2 linked regions of the Xenopus tropicalis genome follow. The protein of the gene in region 1 purifies or fractionates together with the protein of each later gene. This does not show direct contact. Links are inferred from orthologs where the notes say so. Each region holds a gene or a part of one and is shown in the gene's direction. Other genes may lie near its edges.

Evidence for each region.
Region 2: the proteins of amhr2 (region 1) and cdc37 purify together in Homo sapiens (co-immunoprecipitation; 3 studies listed by BioGRID and IntAct, with this or other methods). This does not show direct contact. The link is inferred for Xenopus tropicalis from reciprocal best matches to the Homo sapiens genes AMHR2 and CDC37.

The regions. Positions count from the first base shown.
Region 1 is NC_030678.2:146,938,527-146,942,098, reverse strand, and holds part of amhr2 (anti-Muellerian hormone type-2 receptor), read left to right. Parts: intron 1-44; coding exon 45-275; intron 276-1,106; coding exon 1,107-1,221; intron 1,222-3,367; coding exon 3,368-3,525; intron 3,526-3,572. UniProt on the Homo sapiens protein: On ligand binding, forms a receptor complex consisting of two type II and two type I transmembrane serine/threonine kinases.
Region 2 is NC_030679.2:137,659,878-137,663,449, reverse strand, and holds the end of cdc37 (hsp90 co-chaperone Cdc37), read left to right. Parts: intron 1-660; coding exon 661-732; intron 733-2,661; coding exon 2,662-2,799; 3' UTR 2,800-3,503; downstream 3,504-3,572. UniProt on the Homo sapiens protein: Co-chaperone that binds to numerous kinases and promotes their interaction with the Hsp90 complex, resulting in stabilization and promotion of their activity. Inhibits HSP90AA1 ATPase activity.

The DNA.
Region 1 (3,572 bases):
GTTCTGTTACTGAGCAGAGTCCCTTGTGTTGTCCATCTCTTTAGGCGCTCAAAGAGGATAGTTTGTCAGTACAATTAAGTCTTGGAAATTTTCATGGGAGAAACGTGGTCATAAAGTGCTTCCCGCCAGCCCTACGAGAGCAGTACAAACAAGAATACAGGATCCTCAGTCTCTTGACTTCTCTTCATCACAAGAACATAGTATGTCTCATTAAGGCAGGTTCTTCTAGCTTCCTAAAAGAACATTATCTTCTGGTACTGCAGCATTATCCTAGAGTAAGTATCAAATTTGTGGCCTAAAAAAGTTGACCTTTTATGACTAATGAACTCGAAGGCAGTGGTTTCCCAAATGTAACCTTGTCATAAACTAAGGGGGGACCACGGCCAAATATTTGACCAAAAAGAAGTCCTTAACTCCAAAAATGAACCATGCTGTCTGTCTTCTTTACAAATATAGCATGTTGAGGACCAAAGATAGGGGTGGTAGTTGTAAGGTGTCATATCAAACCTGAAAGGCAGGGTACAAAGTCCAAAAATCAGGGCAAATGGCAGACCGCCATTTTGTTTCCAATTTGCACCCTGTCTTTCAAGCTAAATGAATTAATGTAGGTCTCTGTGCTCATTCAGGCATGCAAGATAGCAGGGCTGGAATTAGTAGTAAACAGAAGAGCGAAGTGGCATAGAGGTGGCAGGGTGTTAGACACATACTTCTTCTTTCTGCCTACCCCTATTTCAGGGTCCTGGAGGATCACCAGATGTCTGCATTTTTACAGTTCTCATCACTCAAATCCACCCCACCCACCATCACTTGTCATATATATATATATCATATAAAAAAGACCAGCAACACTGAGATTTCTGTGCAAATCAAAAGAGTGTATTTAAATGTAATATGCAGCCATATATACATATATACTGGAACAAGGACAGCACTCTTGTTCCAATGCATTTTTTTGTACTAGCATCCAGGTTTTGTTGCTGCAAATGGTGTGCACCCTATGGACTAGTTTATATATATATATATATATATATATATATATATATATATATATATATATATATATATATATATATATATATATATATATATATATTTCTTTTTTGCAGGGCTCTCTCAGGAGTTACTTGATACATTGTACCACTAACTGGACCACAGCATGCCAAATGGCAACATCCCTTGCCAAAGGACTGGCATTCCTACATGCAGACATATGGAAAGAAGGTTTGGATAATTCATAAAATCTTTTCTCTTTGTGATTTAATTTTGATTTCATCTCATTTTTTAATAAAATCAAATAACCTTAAAACAGGCTCCATAATGCAGAGCACACATGCTGCTGTTATTATCAGCAAGTTTGACATTTTTTTTGCCATACAGGTAAAACATTCAATTTGACGCGACCGTGCCTATTTTGACACAATACTATTTGATAATACTGTGGCATTGCCTTTACATGTCACTGCTGGTTTGTTTTGCATTGGGGCATATGCAGATACCAGCTGAGCATACTGTGTAGCTGAATAATTTATAGTTGCTGTGGCACTGTTTTCAGAGATAATTGCTAAATTCACACACAAACACACATACAGACCCTTGCTTGAACACAATATGACCTATATACTGTATCAGACACATTTATAATGTATGAGTCCTGTTTACCAAGCAGTGATAATTTTAGATATTCTTAAGCACAGATAGTACTCATTCTAGACATTCTGTACACAGTTAGCATTAGTGACACTGCTCTTTTGGTTTAAATCTTCTCTTTCTGCCCGGTCCCTTAAAGGAACAGTAACACCAAAAAATCAAAATGTTTTTAAGTAATCATAATACAATGCACTGTTGCCCTGCACTGGTAAAATTTGCACATTTGCTTTAGAAACACTTCTATAGTTTATATAAAAAGGTGCTGTGTAGCCATGGGGGCAGCCATTCAAGCTGGAAAAAGGAGAAAAGGCACAGGCACATAGGAGATAACAGATAAAAAAAACCATTGTATTGTACAGAACTTATCTGTTATCTGTTATGTAACCTGTGCCTTTTCTATTTTAAATGGCTGCCCCCATGGCTACACAGCAGCTTCATTTACTAAACTATAGTAATGTTTCTAAAGCAAATACACCAGTTGCACCAGTGCAGGGCAACAATACATTATACTGTAGTTCCTTTTATACACTTTGATTTTTTGGTGTTACTGTTCCTTTAAAGTTGCATTCTCTAACTCTCCTCCACCTCATTCCCTCTCTCTGTTGGAGTTCCCCAAGGCATCTTCTCTAGGGAAACTTATTCAGCCATTTGGACTTCAGTACCACCCTTATGCAGATGACACCCAGCTCTACAGTCTACTTTTGACCTCTCTCTTTCTGTCCTTTTCAAGTTCTCATCCTCCTTGATGTGACAGCACCATTTGAAACTGAATCTTTTGAAAACATATTTCCTCCAATATCTTCCCCTGTCCCTCAGGTATCACTCACAGTCAATAACATCACCTTTCAATTAACCACACAGGCACGCTGCCTAGGAATTAAGGTGGCTATGCACAGGCTGATTTCAGCTGCCGATTTGGGTTCCTTAAAAACTTTCAAACGCTCCCTAAGGGCTCAGGCACACGGGGAGATTAGTCGCCCGTGACAAATCTCCCCGTTCGCGGGCAACTAATCTCCCCGAAATGCCATCCCACCGGCGAAAATGTAAATCGGCGGTGGGATGGCATACGCGGCGCCGCGATTTCCCTGAAATCGCGGAAGTTGCCTTGAGAGGAAACCAGAGCCCTAAGACCCATCTGTTTAGGGAAGGTTTCAATGTATCTAGATTGATCAGACATTTATGTATTATAAATCATCAGTTTCCTTTTGTTGCAAATGTACTCTTAATCCCTTTTGTAAATTTATGCAAGTAGGTCCTCTATTGTTAATCTGTAAACCCTTTGTTTGTTAAATTATTTCAAGATACCTGTTTCTTAGAATTTAATGTAAAGTGCTGCATCATTTTCTGGCACTATATAAAGAAATGATGATAGAATCACAACTAGTGATGAGAGACATTTTTCACCAGCCATGGATTTGTTGTGACTGTATGTGTTTCGCCACTGGTGGGTTTTTCCATGAAACGGAAAATTTGCCTCGCAACAAAAAAAGTTGCTTGCGTAGATAAAAATTACATGCATCAAAAAAATAGTCCCGATGCATGCAACAATTTTTTTTGAAGCATGTGCATGTGCGTCATTTTTCACATTTCACAAATTATTCACCAGTCCACAAATTTTCCAGTGAAATGAAACTGGACAGATTTACTCATCACTAATAACAACTATATCAATTAAATTGTTTGAGCATGAAATCTAGTTTCTAAAATTTCACTTATACAGATGTGTACAAACCACCAATTGCCCATCGAGATCTCAGCAGTGAAAACATCCTGGTAACTGCTGATTCCTTGTGTGTAATCTCAGACTTTGGTCTTTCGGTTGTATTGGAGGGACAAAAGATAATGAAAAGAAACACTGAGGACCCAGCTATAAGTATGGTAAGAATATAATAAATAGGCCAGAATGTGTCAGAAGCTACTAATCC
Region 2 (3,572 bases), on another chromosome or scaffold:
ACTGCCACATAACCATTTATCAGTCCCAGTCCCACAAAACCACCTATCACATCCCTATGGTCTCACATAACCACCTATCCCATCCTCAGGGTGAACACACATGGAGCTACTAGTAGCAGCTACTTGTTGTAGCTACTAAAAAAAGACAGTGCTGATCATTTACTGATAACTATCTCTACGTCTGTTTGAGCAGAGGCAATTCTCAGTATTGTCTGTGGCAGAATTAGGGAATCTACATACATTTTAATGCAGTGAGAAGGAATGATTTCTGCCACCTCATGCCCTCTTACCCTGAAGACAGGAGAAGATTTCAGTGTTGTATAGAACAAAACAAATTCAGAAATTTTCCATTGCTAAACATGCCCTCTAGTGGTAGACCTAAGAATAGCACCCAAGCAGGAAAAATGATAGAAAGTCCCAATGTAGCTAGGGCAAGAAAGCAGTTCTAATGTGTAGCGCTGGCTCCTTCTGAAAGCTCAGACTCAGGCACAATGCACTGAGATGGCGCCTACACACCAATGTTACAACTAAACATATACATTATTTGCTACGTAAACAATGTCATTTAGTAATAAAAACTACACCTTAAAATCACAATAGAATCCCTTTAAGTTTTTTTAGCCAACGCAAACCAGTCATTTTATTCTGTTTCTTTTACAGGAGCTTCAGAAATGTTTTGATTCTAAAGATATTCAGATGTTACAGGACACCATCAGCAAAATGGACCCAACTGTAAGTTAATTGGGACACAATTGCAGGACCACAGCTTTTCATTTCAGTCAGATTTCCCATTGAGCTCCCCACCGGTGATGCAATGAGCAGAGATTCACTGTAAGTTCTAAGGTGGCCACATAGAGGATGATTTTTCAGGTTATCCTGCTGATCAGTCTATGGGCCCCACAGCTACATACGGTATGAGGCCAAATGTGGACACCTACCTGTCCAACATTTCATTTTAAGAGCAAAGACATTAAAGGAAAACTATACCCTAAATATATTACATAAATAAGCTCATATGTAAAACCCTGTGTTATCTAAATAAACCATTTTCATACAAATATACTATTTTAGTAATATGTGCCATTGGGTAATCCTAAATAGTAAATTTACATTTTAAGAATTAAGGGCCGCCCCCTGGAATCATAGGATTCACAGTACACACAAACAAGCCAAGGCACACATACATGCTAGGCCCCATCAGCCAATGAATGGGCAGAGTTCTGCCTTTTGCTCCCACACTACTTCCTGTTACAGTTAGAGCTGCATTACTTCCTGTCAGGTGATCTCTGAGGGAGCAAACAGCCCTTCACAAAATGGTGGATCAAGGTAAAGGATGTAAAAGGCCAATATTATATTATTGCCAGTTTGGGGAGATTCTTTAATAGGTCACTTAACATAATATAAACTGTCTGTTGGTTAAGCATTCATTATGTGGGTGTAGTTTCCCTTTAATATGAAGTTGGTCCTCATTTTGCCCATAAAAGAGCCTGTAACTTGCACTCTTTTGGGAATGCATTTTGGTGGGATTTGTTCACATTCATACGGAAGAAGGTAAGCACTGATGGGGCTCAGGCCTAGATGTGGCGTTTCAGTGCCTCCCATAGGTGTTCAGTTAGGTCAAGGTCATGGCAAACCATCTCTGTATGTATATGGGGTTATTATCTTGCAGTTGGGGGAGGTGCCATATTGATTACCTTGGCTGTGTATAAAAAAAATTCTTAGCATGCTATGCTGTACTATAGTAATAATGGTGTTAGCAAATAGATATTACTGTTGCATCTTTTACATAAACAGAGACACAGTGCTTGACTGACATGTGAACTCTGAGAATCACTCATGTATTATAAGGGATAATGTACCCCCTACTGTAAATGATAAGGATATTAGCAGTCACTGAGGGGTTCTGTGCCCATATAAAGGCACAAGGCTGCAGGCTGAGTTATACAGGGAACTCTGAGTATCACTCATGTATTATAAGGGATAATGTACCCCCTACTGTAAATGATAAGGATATTAGCAGTCACTGAGGGGTTCTGTGCCCATATAAAGGCACAAGGCTGCAGGCTGAGTTATACAGGGAACTCTGGGTATCACTCATGTATTATAAGGGATAATGTACCCCCTTCTGTAAATTATAAGGATATTGGAAGTCACTGAGCTGTTCCATAAACAAACCAAAAGACTATAGTCTTATGGAAGTCTTATGTTTTATCTTTTACATAAGTTCTAGTGAGTCATCTGACACATGTCACTAAGCACCCATACACGGGCCGATTCTAGCTGCCAACATCTGTCCCTTAGACTGTTTCGGCAGCTTATCGGCCTGTGTATGGGCACTAACGACGCACCTGCCTGACAGACATCTGGCCTGACATTGGGTTAGTTGATGCGGTCCCCAAACCAACGGGCGCCCATACCTGCTGTTCTAATCCGATCGTTTGGCTCCAGGGCCAAACGACTGAATAAGCCCAATATCTTCCACCCATAGGTGGGGCTGTCGGGAGAAGATCCGCTCGCTTGGGGACCTCGCCAGGCAAGCAGATCTTAGCGTGTATAGCCATCTTAACTGATGACATCACTTGTCTACTTTACAGTTATCATAGTTATTCATAGTATTTTATTTTTGTTTTTAATCAACATATTTATTCACTTGCATTGCAGGAAGCAAGATTTTTTATGAAGCAGTGCATTGACTCAGGACTTTGGGTTCCGAATGCAAAGGGAGGAGATGGTACGGAGCCTGAGGCTCCTGACTCAGAACCTGTATATGAAGAGGCCAAGAGTGAAGCTGCTGACTAGATGGAGACTTCATGAGAGACCAGAAGTGGCCAATGGCATTATCAGAAGAGCTCCAGATAGAAATAGGTGGAATTAGCTGGATCCCCAACAGAGCTACTGGCCCATAAGAGGTCCTGCTAATACTATTTATCTTTTTTTTTTCTTTTTATGTGAACATCATAAGGATTATATACATAGAAGCAGCCCCCGTGAATTGTGCATGAATAGATCATTCCAGGGATGGCTGATTCAGGAAAGAACACAACTTCTATTCAATAACACATTGTGGCTTGTTAAATGTCAGTGGGATTGGGGCATAATATTGCCTTTTACTGAAGCATTATGATTGGCTTACCACAAGCTGTTAATTGTCTGTTACTCTGTGTTCTTTTACCATACAAAGGGAAACTAGTACTACCTTGAAATTATGGGTTGCTAATTGTAAACCTTCCTCAAAACAATGGCTTTTTATATTTTCTCCCTTTCTTTTCATCATGTTAATTCAAATTTGTAACACAATTTCAGTTTTCCACTGATTCCTGCTGCTATGAACTTACTGAGAAACCTCCAGATCAGCCAAACGGTGAGAGAGCGTATTCACCTTTGCTGGAAACTGCAGTGATCTATTCAATATCTGTTTCTATTTAGTCCCTTTAGTCTGTTCTGCTTCTGCACTGGGGTTAAGATGTGATAGCACTGAAATAAATATACATTGACTTTTCCACATTGGCTTGTATGCTGCCGTACCTCTTTTTTTATTTCATGAACCTAATAGCACAAAAGACTGTATGCAA